Linked DNA regions of Saccharomyces cerevisiae S288C. The gene in region 1 interacts genetically with each later gene. Each region holds a gene or a part of one and is shown on either strand. Other genes may lie near its edges.

The links. Genes that interact genetically often act in the same process or in processes that back each other up.
Region 2: mutations in DUF1 (region 1) and ERG24 together harm fitness more than expected from each alone (negative genetic interaction), as found in Saccharomyces cerevisiae (one large-scale study listed by BioGRID).

Annotation. Positions count from the first base shown.
Region 1 is NC_001147.6:154,722-160,149, forward strand, and holds DUF1 (Duf1p), read right to left. Parts: upstream 3,917-5,428; coding exon 566-3,916; downstream 1-565. Other genes in the region: protein disulfide isomerase MPD2, read right to left, coding at 1-24; MHF1 (Mhf1p), read left to right, coding at 4,452-4,724; alcohol dehydrogenase ADH1, read right to left, coding at 4,827-5,428. UniProt on the Saccharomyces cerevisiae protein: Ubiquitin-binding protein involved in the resistance to phenanthroline, sanguinarine, nordihydroguaiaretic acid (NDGA), isopropyl (N-3-chloro-phenyl)-carbamate (IPCPC) and guanosine 5'-O-(2-thiodiphosphate).
Region 2 is NC_001146.8:108,530-112,204, forward strand, and holds ERG24 (delta(14)-sterol reductase), read right to left. Parts: upstream 1,883-3,675; coding exon 566-1,882; downstream 1-565. Other genes in the region: HCH1 (Hch1p), read left to right, coding at 1-399; pheromone-regulated protein PRM1, read left to right, coding at 2,388-3,675. UniProt on the Saccharomyces cerevisiae protein: Delta(14)-sterol reductase; part of the third module of ergosterol biosynthesis pathway that includes the late steps of the pathway. ERG24 reduces the C14=C15 double bond of 4,4-dimethyl-cholesta-8,14,24-trienol to produce 4,4-dimethyl-cholesta-8,24-dienol.

The sequences.
Region 1 (5,428 bases):
AAATAAAAAGCCGTGCAATTTCATCTCCTTTGTGTTTTACTTTGCCGACGTACTTGCACTAGACTCGCTGTGTTTTTTTTCTGTTGTTTTGTTGTTATGCTGTTCTTTAGCTCAAAAAATTGGCCACTGTTCCCCGCTCTGTAAATTAATTGCTCTTAAAGAAACAAAAATGATTAAAAAAAATTAGAAATATTTGAGATAATAAGAACATCATTCAGGTCGCCCATATTCACAATTATTTACAGACTGTATTTTAATGAAGAATGTGTGCATAACTTGATGGTACCTATTCAATATAAAATTTGATAAATAAATAATATTATAAAAATGTCTATGTAATTATTATAAAGCTCTAGAGTATGTATGAGTTGTTACACATAGCATTCCAATGAGTACTTGCTTTTTTCTTCGTTCTTTAGACATTTCAGAAGAATATTCTTTATCTTGTCATTGTTACTGCAACTACTATTATAGTATTATTAGTATTATTGTTGGTATTGTTACTATATATTTACGCTTAAAAACTCCAAATTCAGACCCCAAAATATAATTTAAATAAACATTATCATTTCCCCTCATTCCCGTTGACCTCATGAACTAGCGGTGAATTATGTACTTTTCTTCTGTATTCTAGAACTATGTCACCCTGAGATTTCCAGTAAAGTGTTCTAACGGTATTTAAAGTCATATCGTTATCAAGCACTTGGCCCCTACATAGTAGATCCAACCAAAGACTAGGTTCCATTTTTGCTTTCATTTCAGGAGTTTTCGTTTCAAATCTGTCAGCGACGTAAAGTTTAATTTTTTTCACCCTAATCATTCCAGGCGCAACCAGCTTGACATTCGCCTCAGAGATTCTCGGTAAATCTGTGGGGTTTAACTCCTGCTCGCTGGTCTTCGGACGGCCAAACTTTAGCATATTATGGAACTGTTGCTGTGTTGATGGGGAAACGGCTTCATTACCATTTCCAAGGCTGCTATCGCTACTATCGTTGCCAGAAGATTCTGTGGTATCTGATGCACTAATAAACTTCTTCTTGTTTTCATTGCCAGCTGCCTCACTCCCACCAACAGAAGACCATGGCATGATTAAGAAGTTCAACTTTGGTTGCTCTTCCACCGTCTTAATATCTCTAAATAAAGCTTTTGCAAACCAGTAGGGCAAATTTTCCTCCAATTGCTCAAAAATTTGCCTTCTGTTGAGTCTGCTTCCTAACTCGCCATCAATAAGATCATATTTTCCTAATTTGTCATCATCTACAGCTTGAAGGTCTACTTCTTCATCATCTGGCGGTTTGGAATTTTCTTTGCCGCCGCTGACGGTTTCATTATCGACATGAGATGGCGGTAATAGGGTGGAAAATAATACCCTGCCACCACATGAGCCTTCCTTCCAAAGATGGACCAAAACTAACGTGGCAGATTTTACTCTAATAATTGGACATGAACTAGCCTTGATTATCTTGGTGACTGGAAGCCTCTTCGTCAGGTATTTTAGAGAAGAAGTATTCATATATTGTTGCTTGTAAGACTCTTGAATTTGCTCCAGTAAATCGGGCATGAACTCAGGCTTCTTCTTTTCGTTGCCTTCCAAGGTTGACGTGGAATTCGCCCTTGAGTTTTCAGATGATCTTAGTTTGTTATGAGTGTTGTTACTCGGTAAATCTTGTGATGAAATAGCGGATAGTTTTTGCTCTAGCTTGAAAGGATGATTCCATAACATAGATTCTGGAGTTGCATCCTTAGACTGCTGAGTTGTATTGATAGCTTGAGGGAAGGCCGAGTCATCATTAATAACGTGCGGAGTATCTGGCAGAATTCCTTTGGGCTCCTCTGGAGTGTTTAACCCTGTTGTGGCACGACCAGAAGTAGACCTAAATGATTTGAACTTTCTACTTAACAAGGAGCCAGAGCTCTGCGTTCTAAAATATGGCTTTTTGGATGCAGGCAATGGTTGCACGAGTTCTAAAGAGTCATCTATTGCTTTATCAGAAGCTGACTGCAACAATGGTTGTTCTTCTAATACTATAGTCTCTGCCATTACCGGGGTTGCAGGTGCCGAATTTGGTGGAGTTCCACTGCTGTTGGTATTTCCAATGGACAGAGTTGAACTAATTTTGAAGGTTGATTTTCTCTTTTTATCTTTATTATTCTTTTTTGATTCACTGTTATATCCCGTATCCAAGGTTAATGAATTGGTTAAGTCTTTTTTCTTCAAACTAAAAATTTTCTTCCTTAAAAGTTTATCCTTTTGGACTTCATATGATATGAACTCATTGAAAAGCGAATTAATAACAATTTTACCCAAATTATATCTCTCATCTGAGTTAATTTCAATATTGTTCACAACCTGATAATCCTTTAGCGCGGATCCATAAACTTCAGTTTTCAGAAATTTTGGGTTTATTTTTACGAACAGCATACCGACCTTAACGGAAACAGTACACCAATGAGATAGAATTTCCTTTGAGGTGTATTTCATTACAATATCATCAAATGAACCTTCTGATGAATCAAAAGTATTCAAAAGCTCACATGAAACGATATCCCATCTCTGCATTTGGCCTTTAGTGTTTTCCGTTATTACATGCCTCCTGTTGGTTAGCAGTGAGCTTCTGGTCAGTGCGAACCCACCTTCGTTGACACTGAAATGGTTATTAGTTAAATCGAGCACGTTTAGATTTGAGTCAGTACAAAAAGAAAACAACAATTTTTCATTAGGTAAAAGGGCAATATCAAGGATACCACCATATTTTTTTACTTTCGCATCTGTAGTTGATATATTTTGCTCTTCGTGTTCATGGTGATGATGATGATGGTGGTGATGATCAGGCTTGAAAATTCTTGTAAGTTTAGCATCTTCATAACTGGATAAGTTTGCTCTCATAACATTGCCCTGAGAGTCACCAAAATACAACTTATCAAGGCTCGTTCCTTGGACACACCATATGGAAGAATCCCAGGACCAAGATCCAATTTTTTTGGGAAGCTGAAGGGCACCAGTAGTCTGATCATGCCTACAATTCAAGTCCCATACATTTATTACACCATCTGAGCTGGTACTGATTAGTCGTGTGGAGTCATCAAGAGTTCTTACTACTTTTATATTTGTTCTGTGGGCGTTTTGAATTCTTATCACCTCCTTACGATATTTACACGAATAAAAAATCAAATCACCATTACAGTCTCCGGCAACAAAATCAAAGGGACGAGACGTTTGATTGTCATCAAAACTGTATTTTGGGATGATGGGACTCATGGAGTATATTGAGCCTGTGTCGTTTGATTGTGCATTATCAAATGTGTGTAGTAGCGTAGCCATTTTTTCTGGCCCGCTGCTCAGGCACCAAAGTTTGATTTTTCTATCTAGACCACCTGTCACAAAAAGAAAGTTGTTCTGTTCATCAACAACAATGCCATTATTTATTCCATCGTGTACATTATCAGGACCACCCTCTTGTTCTTCCAATTCATAGTCATTTGACATTTCATAATGTATGGGCACTATGCACTTGATATAATCGTCGTGGTCACCGATTATTTTCTTATCCCAGGTAGTTAACTGCGCATTCACACTAATTAATACTATCGAAAAATCGTGACTTACTGATATGAATGTGTCCCCTGCAGATGGGTCTGAATTTTTCATATTAACATGTATTAGATCGCTTGCCCAATCGCTATGAACTTGCATTCTTATCGCATCGTTTTTTATGGTAGTTGCAGCAGTCTCAGGCTCGTTCGAGAGCTGTGTGTTCTTGTGCAAAATTATGGAACCATCCCTTCCTGAAGTAAGAAAATAGTTTTTACCAGGTATATCCGGGTACAGAATCTTTGTTATCGGTAAGATGTGCGCATCTTGGGAAGTGCAGTAATCTGGGGAAATTAGGCCATAACTCACTGTCAACTGATTCATTATTACCTTTCTATTTTCTCCGGCTTTTTATTGGCTTGCTCTTCTAAAGTCAGAAAAGCGTAGATTTGCTAGAATGTATCGTTTCCTCGTTAGGAATGGCTTGAACTAATTCCTGTATCTATGCAATTGCAATCCAACTACACTTATACGACGTCAAAAGGAAGGGGCGGAGCGTTCTAATTGTAGTTGCAAAAAGCGATGTAGTCGTTCTTCAAGTAGTAATTAATACCAGGATAGGACACGGTGTTATGGTGCTGGTAGTTACTTGTTATAATGTTATTATTGGGCAAAAAGAGAGTTCACTGTTTAACAATAGCAATGGGGTTTTTTTCAGTATACATTTGAACTGCAATGGAATTTGGGCGGAGGGAGCAGTAAAGGGGCGATCAGAGTTGAAAAAAAAATGCTGCCGTAAAAAAAGCATGCACGTATACACTTGAGTAAATATATTTATGTATTCATATCTCAAGATAAGATCATGATACATAAAAGCGATATAACGTCTTGAAGCTCAGGTAAGGGGCTAGTAGATGCAATGAATGACGATGAAGATAGAGCCCAACTGAAGGCTAGGCTGTGGATCCGTGTGGAAGAACGATTACAACAGGTGTTGTCCTCTGAGGACATAAAATACACACCGAGATTCATCAACTCATTGCTGGAGTTAGCATATCTACAATTGGGTGAAATGGGGAGCGATTTGCAGGCATTTGCTCGGCATGCCGGTAGAGGTGTGGTCAATAAGAGCGACCTCATGCTATACCTGAGAAAGCAACCTGACCTACAGGAAAGAGTTACTCAAGAATAAGAATTTTCGTTTTAAAACCTAAGAGTCACTTTAAAATTTGTATACACTTATTTTTTTTATAACTTATTTAATAATAAAAATCATAAATCATAAGAAATTCGCTTATTTAGAAGTGTCAACAACGTATCTACCAACGATTTGACCCTTTTCCATCTTTTCGTAAATTTCTGGCAAGGTAGACAAGCCGACAACCTTGATTGGAGACTTGACCAAACCTCTGGCGAAGAAGTCCAAAGCTTCTCTGGTGTCAGCTCTGTTACCGACGTAAGAACCAACAATAGAGATGGACTTGACGACTTGGTTGAAGACATCAGAACAACACTTGGCACCAGCTGGCATACCGACCAAAACGGTGGTACCGTTAGCTCTAACGTATCTGGTAGAAGCTTCAATAGCGGCTTCGGAAACGGAAACGTTGATGACACCGTGAGCACCACCGTCAGTGGCCTTTAGAACAGCACCGACAATGTCCTTTTCCTTAGTGAAGTCAATGAAGACTTCACCACCGATGGATCTGAATAATTCTTCCTTACCTTCACCACCGTCAATACCCAAGACTCTGTAACCCATAGCCTTGGCGTATTGAACAGCCAAAGAACCTAGACCACCAGCAGCACCGGAGATAGCAACCCAGTGACCGGCCATCAAGTTAGCAGACTTCAAAGCCTTGTAGACGGTGATACCAGCACACAAGATGGGGGCGA
Region 2 (3,675 bases), on another chromosome or scaffold:
GACTACTTGAACGGTAAATTAACGAGTTTGTCCACTGTTTCCTCTGATGGGAAGAGCAAAATTGAGTTAACCCAGGTGAGTAGCATCACCGGTGACTCCAACGTATCTCAAAGGAAGGGCAAGCCGATTTGCTACTTTGACTTACAGTTGTCGATGAACGTCAAAGTGACAAATTTGGATACTAATAAGGACGACGAGGATGATGACGGCATACTTGCGGACGGGAAACTAGAAATTCCAGAGTTTATGCATGACGAGTCTGATATTCCGATTTTGTCGCAAGGGTTTGATGCTTTTGATGGATTGGTTAGGTCTGAATTTGTCCCTAAAGTAGTGGAAACGCTACTAAAATACCAAGATGACTTGATTAAAGAACACTCAAAGGATATACAAGTTTGATGTGTTCATGTAACGAAAAGGGGAGCGTTGCATAGATAGACCACCGCCCCTTTTAATTTTTCCAGCGTTTTCAATTGTTATTCTTCTTCTTCCTCATACTCACCCAATACATAACATGTATACACACATACATAGATAATGAAGAAAATAGCAGTGGTAGAAAAACTTAATAAACATATGGAATGATCTTGTAAGGAACTTTTCTTTCGTATTCTTCCCAATTTTCGCCATATTTCAGGCGGCACTTGTGCTCATCACGTTGTTGACGGTGTAATAACAACGTGGCGAAGTACAACGAGTAGTAATATGTCAAGGGAGTTTGGAACCAGGTGGCCAAACACCAACTTAATGAAATCAGCCAATCGCCAAAGTAATTGATATGCTGTGATTTAGCCCACCACCCGTCACATAATAACTTTGTACCACGCTTTGTCTGAATACTTTTTAGATTTTCTAATTTACCTTGTCTAAACTCAGATTTTTGCTTATTTGCCGAGTGGAAGATGTGGAAACCCAAAAACATTATGGCTAATATACCGACAACTTTCACCCATCCCAATTCCACAGGGGAAACACTCAAGTAACGCGCTTGTAATGAGTAGGTGAATGGAACTAAACTTAAGTCACCAAACGCTAGCATGAAACCAAACCCATCTGTAGTGATATCCATCATGGTTAATACACCTTCCTCGTTTAGTACTCCATCGAAAATGTAAAATCCTTGCAAGAAATTAACCAAGACCAATGCATCGTTGATTTTACCAGTCTTCAGGTAATGGTGATGCAGACAGGAAAGATTGATCAGTAACCATAACAACATGCCGGGTCTCAACTCTGAAAACATCTTGATATCTAATGGGCCGAGACGAGGGTTCAGTTCTCTACCAATAAACCAATCGTAAATGATGTTTCCTGAATTTCCACCTAGTGCTAAGATCTTTTCCCTTTTGCCATTACCATTTTTCTTGAAGATCAATGGTATGAAGCTGGCAACATAGCAGTACGTCGCCAAAAAGAACGAAAACAAAATAGATATTATGCATAAACTAACGTGATTTTCATACAGATATTGCAATTCAGGCAATTGTCCATCAGTCAATTTCCATCTGATAGCCAAAACTAAGACCAAAGTTGTAGACATGGCAATTCCATTGATCTTATACGAAAGCTTCGAACCATCCCTTAACTGAACACCCTTCATGACTCTGCCCGGTAAAATGACGTCCAAAACTGCCAGTATTCCATACCACAGGCAATAGACAGTCCATAATTCACGATTGCCCAGATAGTAGCGCAATGGCTTGATACCGTTCCAAAGCTCAACTATATCGAAATTCTGGAAAAATCCCTTAATAAAATAATCGGGCCTTATCATTTGATTCAAGATGATAGTGAAAACAGGCAGCCCTATGCTGATGCCTAAGGCACCAATCAGCCCACCAAATTCAAACTCTGTAGTTCTGGGATTCAAAGCTGATACCATCCTTTTATTCTCTACACCGAATTTGTCTTTACTCCTATGCTGTTTACAAGGTCTATCTGATAAGCAATTGCGCAAGAAAATAGTAGAATGAAAACTGATTATTAAAAACAAACGTAAACTCAAGCCTCACTTGATGCTCAGACGGAGTACGTGAAAAACGTCCGTTATGCAAAACCCTTTATATGCACAACCTTCACACAATGCAAATTTCCGATGATGCCTACATACAAAAGAGCGAAAGGCGATATAAATTTTTTTCACGGGATTTTCGTTTAGGTGAAAATAAAATGAACGACAGAGCATGCAGAGTCCGGGTAATACATATGTTTCAATACTGTTTCAATACTGTTTCAGAAGTGCGTCACATATTAATTTTAACTTATAACTGGCCTGTTGCTGGCAAGAGGTATATATATATGACGAATGTGACCAACATAAGTCCTTAAGATAATCCCGAAATATTTGGTTAGGATGATTCCCTTTCGAATTTGTGAACGTTGATGATATGAGCGGTTTTAAATGCTATTTGCAATTGGGTGACAGGCTCTCTCAAATATGGCTAAATAAGTATACTTTGGTTTTGCTGCTAGCAATGCTGAAGCTTCTGTTTTTCTCCAAATCCATACAACATGCGATAGAAGTCTCGGAAACGTATATTTTGTCCAATTGTTACAGTATTGATTCACTATACTCCAAGATGACAGACAACACGCCGCACTATTTAGGTATCATGGGGAATTATCTTATCGAGAAGGGTATGGAGGAGACTGTTAAAGCTACGCTAGAGACGTTATCACTTATAGTATATGCGAGCGAGGGGCTGGTAAACTTTGCCATTGACCTGTATTTGGGCACTTATGCCTGTTTGATTGTTAGTGCCGTTGATGGTACCGTGGACGTTGCTACTAACATTACAGAAAAACTGATTAGCTTAGTCAATGATACAGTTTCAAGTGTGGCTAATGAATTGGATACGGGCTTGAATGACATCTCCAAAATAATCAATAAAGTGATCAAGGCCGCATCCAAAGTAGAGAATTTTTTCACAGGTGATGACGATGACAGTAACATGACGTCGTCAATCAAAAGCGTCAACTTAACCATATCTGCGCTTCACAATTTATACATTCCTTCCTCAATCAACGATAAGCTTGAAGAGTTATCGGCAAAGACGCCGGACTTTGCCCAGGTTAAGAATACAACCAAGAACCTGATCTCGGTTCCCTTCAATGAAGTTCGGAAGAATATCAAGGCCGTGAATGCCAGCAATATAATCGGAGATACCTCCGTTTTGTACGTACCTCCCGTGTCCCTTGACAACAGTACTGGGATTTGCTCATCCAATCAATCAGAAATTTTGGCCTTTTATTCCATCTTGGGACATGTCCTGAAAATAGCCACCGTAGTGTGCATTACCGTATTGATATGCTTCGCTGTTGGTGCGATGGCGCCCGTTGCATGGAATGAAATCAAGCTCTGGAGGCGCCTTTGCGGAATGAGAGACCATTACATGCTGAGCAGGCAAGATTCGTATACGTCCTTTTCCAGTGAAAACACGCACGAATTGAAAGATCCATTTAGAGATCCTCCTATACAAAATGGCCAATATGATGTCATTGCAAGCTATCAGCAGTGCTTTCAAACATGGAACACAAGAATAGCAGGCTGGATGACAAATCTTGTTACCTTTGGAAAATCACCAGAGAACATTGACCCAAAGACTAAACAAAAAATAGAATGGGTAGTGGCTTATATGACCTCCGAAAGAGCACTGTGTGTTCTTGGAATTGGAC